2 linked regions of the Astyanax mexicanus genome follow. The protein of the gene in region 1 purifies or fractionates together with the protein of each later gene. This does not show direct contact. Links are inferred from orthologs where the notes say so. Each region holds a gene or a part of one and is shown on either strand. Other genes may lie near its edges.

Evidence for each region. The genes of interacting proteins can lie anywhere in the genome.
Region 2: the proteins of rnf139 (region 1) and insig1 purify together in Homo sapiens (affinity purification with western blotting, with the first as the bait; 3 studies listed by BioGRID). This does not show direct contact. The link is inferred for Astyanax mexicanus from reciprocal best matches to the Homo sapiens genes RNF139 and INSIG1.

Annotation. Positions count from the first base shown.
Region 1 is NC_064409.1:74,244,568-74,248,320, forward strand, and holds the start of rnf139 (E3 ubiquitin-protein ligase RNF139), read left to right. Parts: upstream 1-1,316; 5' UTR 1,317-1,482; coding exon 1,483-1,645; intron 1,646-3,753. Other genes in the region: deoxyribonuclease TATDN1, read left to right, coding at 21-147, 361-463. UniProt on the Homo sapiens protein: E3-ubiquitin ligase; acts as a negative regulator of cell proliferation through mechanisms involving G2/M arrest and cell death.
Region 2 is NC_064415.1:58,135,206-58,138,958, reverse strand, and holds the start of insig1 (insulin-induced gene 1 protein), read left to right. Parts: upstream 1-898; 5' UTR 899-1,122; intron 1,123-1,967; 5' UTR 1,968-1,973; coding exon 1,974-2,295; intron 2,296-3,618; coding exon 3,619-3,743; intron 3,744-3,753. UniProt on the Homo sapiens protein: Oxysterol-binding protein that mediates feedback control of cholesterol synthesis by controlling both endoplasmic reticulum to Golgi transport of SCAP and degradation of HMGCR.

The DNA of each region.
Region 1 (3,753 bases):
GCCTCTGTTTGCCCTCCCAGACGCTCCATGGTGTGGCATCAAAAACACTCACGCTGGATCCAAGCTTGTAAAAACTACATTTCCCACCAAGAAGAAATGGGAATCAGGTCACTGTCTGAAGGACAGGAATGAACCCTGTCATATCATGTAGGTCAAAGAGCAACATTACGACATCTGAACAAATAGAACCACCGTCAGACTGAAAGCCAATCATTTCAGTTTCGATCCACTGGCTAGTTTGTCTAATCAATTTTACTGATCACTAACTTTGTTTATTTGGGTTTATTCTAAATGTATAAGTGGTACAAACACACTTATTAATAAGATGCATATTTTTAAACCACTACTCATCTTTTTCAGACAAGTGCTGGAGGTGATGGCAGCGGTGAGGAACGAGGACCCTGTGGAGATGGCCAACACAATCTATCAGAACACACTGAAAGTGTTCTTCACTGGAAGCTGATATTACAGAAAGACTGGATCTAGTGTGACTCTATAACAGTATAAAATGGAACATATTTTAATAAATAAGTGAAGAAAACACTGTCTTGTCTTTTTTATATATTTAGCATTTCTACTGAAATCAATCAAGTTGTGTATATAGTGTAATTTTGCTAATAAATCATTATTTGATTTGTTTAATTTATTTTTTACCTTTATTTAACAAAGTAAAACTTGAAAAATGAGTTGGGCGATAATTTTAGAAAGATGTCAATGTTAACCATTAATTTGATTTGTTTAAGATTTTTTAAAATATATTTTAGATTCATATTTTAAGTTTGTTTAATTGATTTTTGTATATTTTCCGCATCTTTTCATTAGGTTTCGTTTCCTCCATATACTTTCGTGTGGCTCCGTTTATTTTCGTGTATTTGTATGTTTTGTGTATTTCCATTTGGCTGCATTTATTCGTATATTTTCGTTTGGCTTTGTTTATTTTTGTGCTTTTTAATATATATTTTTTGTTTGGCTCTCTTTACTTTGTGTGTTTTCATACCATTTCGTTTATTCTCGTTTATCTTCGTGTATTTCCTTTTGGTTTCGTTTATCTTCGTGTATTTCCTTTTGGTTTCGTTTATCTTCGTGTATTTCCGTTTGGCGTCGTTCCTTTTCGTTCATCTTCGTGTTTTTCCTTTTGGTTGTTACTTATTTTCGTTGATTCTCGTTCATCTTCGTGTGTTTCTGTGTATCTTCGTGTTTTTCCGTTTGGTTGTTACTTATTTTCGTTTATTCTCGTTTATCTTCGTGTGTTTCCGTGTATCTTCGTGTGTTTCCGTTTGGCTCCGTCAGCTCGGCTCGGCTGCGTTCGTCGCTGGATACGCTGTGACGTCGCGCGCTTCCGCGTTCTTCGCATAGCAACAGAGCGCGGAGGGAGCGGAGATGGCGGCCGGTGGCTGTCCGACTTAACAACAGCGGCGCGGAGAGAGAGCGCGAGACCCTGCCGGGGCAGGAGCGGCTGTACCCGGCGGCCACACCGCGGACATGGCCTCCACCGGCGGCCGGATCGGTCAGCAGGCCCTGGCGGTGCTGGAGGTGGCGCTGCGGGTGCCGTGTATCTTTATTATCGACGCCATTTTTAACTCTTACCACGACCCGGGAGCGGGCTGGGCCGGGACCGCGGGCCGTGTTCTAGGCCGAGTGCTGGGTAAGCTCAGGCGGACACCCCGCTGATTACATACCGTCGGCTGCTGCGGGTTCCTCCGGCAGGGCGGAGCGGACAGCGAGGCTCCGCGGGGCAGAGGAGCGCAGGGCCTACCTGCTACCGGGTAAAGCCGGTTTAGCTGCCAGAGCTCCGGTTCTTGGGGTCTGGTTAGGCTGTCAGAGCTCCGGCGGACAGGCTGGAGTCACAGCGGGGGCTCGTTGGGTGTTTTAGTGGGTTTGAGTTTGACAGGCAGCGCAGAGAGAGAGGCCCTAGCCTTTAGCCTGCCCCCTTTAACCCTGTTCAGCTCAGCTCAGCTCAGTTAGATAACCTATAGCTAACCCCAGATATAATAGAGGCCATTCATTGTATTGTGGACAGGTGTTTGTGCACCAATGTGGGAATATATATATAGATACCAAACATTAAAACACACATTGAATTATTTAGTAAACATTTCCTCAGTCAGGTTTATGAGGAAGAGTCACCTGGATTTTTAAGTTTTTTAGTCAACAGCTGTGCTGAACTCATCAAAAGTTAATTACTTGAATGTATTGCCTTTAAACTACCTTAATGTTAAGGTTTGAGATCATCAGTTGTAAAGTTGTGAAGAGGTAGAGTTGGTATACAGTGAGTAATGTTCTAAACCAAAATACCACCTAAAAGTAATTCACAGGAACATATGCAAGCAAACTAGGGGTGAAAAATATGAACAAAAATGCAGTTACCTCTGTTGGAGTTCCTGATGTCAGTGTAAAGCACAATAAAATAATGCTTTTGACATGTTCTGCAAATTCCAATAGACCTGCTGCAAAATTACTTTTATTTTGTAGCCCATGACGTTCCAAGAAAAGTATGTTTTTATCCAACATTAACAGTGGCTATGTTCACATTACCAGGCTGAAGTGACTTAAATAAGATTTTTTTCTCAGTGTGGCTCAGATCTTTTTTTTTTTTTTTTTTTTTTTTTGTAGCTGTTTGAGCAAGCCAAATCAGATTTTTTTTCCCCCAAATCAGGTTTGAGTCACTTTCATATGTGGTCCTAAATCAGATGCACTTCTGGCATATGCGTCATGAATGTGAACGGTCAAATCAAAATTTATGCGTTTTTTGCATTCATGCATGCATGCTTCTCTCTCGTACCCACACATCTCTTGGTGCAGCTGTGCAGCTATAGCTGCAAAAACAGCAAAAGCAAACCACCTGACCTTTTTTCACCTCCTTGACCTGAGCATGAACTTCAGACCAGCTGTTTGCTCTTAAGTGGCCATTCCAAACCTGTATAGAGATGTGAAACACAGTGTAGCAATTAACTAAGTTACATTAAACGATATTAAAAGAAGAATGTAACTGTTAAGTCTATATAATATAAACACTATTATTTTAATAATGTAAGTTTGAGTGTTCCTTGTATAGTTACAACATTTTATATTTAAACTACAATTTTTATTGTAACCGAAATTAACCAAATTAATACATTTTGAATCGGGTCTAATCGAACTGGGAAATCAGTGACAATACCCACACCTAGTGGTTTCATTTTATTCCAGAGCTGTATGTTTGGTGTTTAATACATTTTAGTCTGGTTAGTTTTCGGTTCAAACTGCAGTTTATTGAAAAGACTAAAGAACTGGTGGGCTGTATCTTCCTATATTTCACACCTAATTTGTTGTAGAATATGAATCATGAATCTATGTCAGACCAAACTGATAAGTCTACAGCTCCAGTAGATGTGAAAGCACCCTTGGTTTGCCAACTAGACAAGTCCGTTTAATTTGGTGTGTAACAGTTTATCATTATAGAACAATATACACTGTATTGCCAAAAGTATTCACTCTCCATAGCAAATAATTCAGTCCAGGTTCCAAGTACTTCCACAGGTCCACAGGTGATTAATGAAAGCAGCATATAGTCATGCAGACTGCTTCTACAAACATAAGTGAAAGAATGGATCTCAGGCACTCAGGAGCTCAGTTAACTCCAGCATTGTGGTACAGTAATAGGATGGTGCAACAAGTCAAACTTCATGTAGCTTCAGAGTTCATCATCACTACACACCCCCAAACTTCATGTAGCTTCAGAGTTCATCATCACTACACACCTCCAAACTTCAT
Region 2 (3,753 bases), on another chromosome or scaffold:
TGATTGGATCTGATAACACAGTGATTCACTCAGTAAACATCATTGCACTGTATTGTTCATGCAGTAGTCAAAGTGTTAAAGCAATGCATTAATAAAATGTATTTGACAACTAAGCTGTCTAAACAGTGAATTTAATTATTATTTAATGTAAAAACCATATGCATATATCCACATAATAATCTCATAGTAGTTTACCCTTAAATAAACCAGTCTACAAAAACAGTACCAGAAACAGCGTTTAATTCTAAAAAAAAGTGTTAAACTGAATTGGTGCATGAAAACAAAAATAAATATGTTACAATGGATTACAATGGATATTACGTATTTTGTGATTATTATTTCTAAATGTTTTGTTGCACATAACACTGTTTGAGAGCTGTTGTCCATCAGAATAGTTTATAAACCAATTAAACAGTATATTTTTACTGTTTAAGGATGGTTTATAAAATAAACACACACAGGCTTTCAATGCTTTCGAAATTATTAAATATTTTATTTAATTTGATTTATTTGCTATATAGATTTTATAGTAGATATTAGAGTCTTCTTTTCTGCTCACTACAGACAGAAAACAGCATTCTTAAATTTTTTGTTCATCACTGGAGATAATCCAGGTCTGAAAAGGTTCATTTAAGCGCAGATAAATTAAATAAAGACGTTTAAAATATAAAATATAGGGCCTTCCACTTTGTATATGAATCAATTGCTTGAATGAATCAATTGAGTCGGTTCATTAACCCGAACCCACTCTCCTCATCATCGCTCCATAAACGCGCTAGTGGCCCCGCCCACTTCACGCTAAGCCCCTCCTCTCCTCCACGTCACATTGGGTGGTGTGTGGCCACGTCATATCGGCCGCCGCGCTGTGATTGGTCGGTTCGGCTCACCAGACACCACGGCGCTTCGTTTTTCTTTGCAGGGCGCGTGAGGAGCTGAGAACGGGAACAGGCTTGGGAGGAAATGAGCTTTTACTTTTAGTTTTATTTCATTAAAACAACGCCTCAGTTAGAAAGTTAAAGTATGTAACCAGAAACAAACAGTAGAAAAGAGTCTGCAAATATAGGGTTTATTTTTTTCGACATTTAAAAAGAAGATCAGGAGTGAAACCGAGAAGAAATCGAGGTAAGTTTTAAAAATTATCAGCAGATTCTTTATAGAGAAACTATGGCTCATCATTTTCTGCTCACTAAAAATAACAGATGTGTTATGACTAAAGCTTCTTCTTTTTTTCTCGCTATTACCTTATATTTTGATTAGCATTATTAATCCCAAACTATTATCTTCAAATCCTCAGTTTCCTCTTCTTTTTTAACCTTATTTTGGTGAATAAAAACATCAGTAGTTGTTTAACCTCATGTTGTTGTGGTCCTAACTGGCTAAAGCTTTAATAGTTAAACGTTATTTTTCTAATTTTTCCTTTTTTTCATTGTCATTAAATCTCCACTTTCCCCGATTATACCTCATAGTATGGTCAATATAACGTTAACTAGTTTTCTCATAATTTTCATATTTTATATTTATTTATGTTAGCCATATAATCTACACCTCCCTCAGTTTTAAGTTACATCCTGTTTTGGGAGTTATCTAGTTAACCTAAGCATTAGAAGCTGATATCTCATTTTTTAAGATTTATGTTTATACTTATATAATATTTTGATCAACACATCACTAAGAGGTCTCCTTTTACGTTGAGTTTATTAAGTGTTTGGCATGTTTAAAGCTTGTGTTATTTTTCTCTCTTTAAGTCATCTGTACTTTGTGGTCTGTTATTATACTTCTTATTGTGTCTTTTCTCATTTCCACTTTGCATTTTGGTCATTAAAACTTTACATCACTATTTTTTATTTTATGTTTTGCCTTGAAAGCTTAAGTTTTCTCATTTTTACTTTGTATTCTGGTCATTAAAGCTTTTGTTCACAGATGTTTTAAATGTTATTTAACATGTATCTCCCTCTTTCTCTCGGTAGAGCCCCATGCCTAAGCTGGAGGACCGCTGCTGGAGCTGCTCTTGTTCCCCCGGTATGAAGTCGGAAGGGTTCCCGCTGGCCTCCAGGGCCCGGGAGGTGATGTCCGGGGTGGCCGGGTCTGTGAGCGAGGCTTTCGCCTCTGTCCGCCGGCTCCACTCCACCAACCTGGTCCGCCGCGGTCTGGTTCTGTTCACCGTCGGCGTTTTCCTCGCTCTGGTGCTTTACCTGCTGCAGATACGGAAAAACGTCGTGCTGTTTCCAGAAGAAGCTCTGGACACGTTATATTCCTCCTCGTGGTGGATCCCTCTGGGGTGCGGAACCGCAGCCGGTGAGTGAGAGACTGAGCTGGAGTTTATTCTATTGTTTTAAAAATTCCACCTTAAAAAGCAGCTGGTACGTTGTGTCGGGTGGGTGGAATACGTGGAGAATGTATGGGGTGAATAGGCTTTTTAAGGTGGAACGGATAGTTTGTATAGGAAGCTGTTATTGTTATTGTGTTGTATATTGAGTTGTAGAACATTAACCCACAACGTTTCTTTAGTATTTAACATTTTAGTTTAATCAGTTATTAAGCATGAATATACACATAAATGGCTAAAAATACCTTAACTTACACAAGTACCTTAAAAATTAGCCGGAGGCTAGCTTGCTTGCTAGCTCAGGTGTTTTGTTTTAAAGCCAATCAAGGCGTAAATTACTTAATTGACATCGTTAATTGACATCGTCACCCACTAATTAGTGTTAAATTAGTATAAAAATGCTTGTATGTAAAGTATAGCGTTCTACAGTGTGTTAATGTATCTCTACGCACATGTAAAGATGCTGCTTTAGGACAGCTCAGTTTGTTTTCCGACTCGCGTTCGGCAGCTGCTCTGCTCGCGTCGCTTAGCAACAGCCGGTGGGAGGAGCCAGCGCGGGTCAGTCTAGGTGTGCTGCGTTCTGATTCGCTCCTGTAGAACGGGTGAGCTGCCAGGTCGCCACGCGATTGGCCGGCGCGCTAAACATGCCACTCATCAAAGCAGAAATCTAACGTTGGCGTCACCAGGCAACGCCCGCCCGCCGCATTCCACGCATACGCAGATCTGGCGGGAAATCCAGTTCCAAAACAAAATTTTTGACTTGTCTTTTTATTTCATATTATATAATAAAGAATTGATTTATAAATCAAGCATTTATATTGGATCTGTTGTAGGTGAAGACATACATGTAAGTGAATGATAATACTTTAATTAATTAATTAATGATTTATTATTTTTAATCTTGTGTATACACTACGGCTGCACCTCAAATGGCTCCCTACTCCCTGTGTAGTGAACAATGCAGAAAACGACAGATTTGACTTGTTTAAAAGAGTTTATTAAATACAGCCATGTTTAATCATGCACCTACACAAACACACACACACTTTTCAGTAATATAATTTGTTATAATAGTACTGGAGTACAAATATCATTAAATTAGTCACTAAATTATAACCAAGCTAGGCAGAGTGTCAAATGACTCCATGCACCCTCCCTAGTGCACCATACTTAAAATAGTACACTAAATGTGATGTAAATACTCTGTCTACTGTTCTATATGGTTCTAATGGGTATATTCACTGTACGTCATTTGTATGGGGGTCTAACACCTTCTGTTTCTGTTTCCTCAGCTGTGGTTGGCTTGTTATACCCGTGCCTGGACAGCCACCTCGGTGAGCCTCACAAGTTCAAGAGGGAGTGGGCCAGCGTCATGCGATGCATCGCCGTGTTTGTGGGCATCAACCACGCCAGTGCTGTATCCTCAT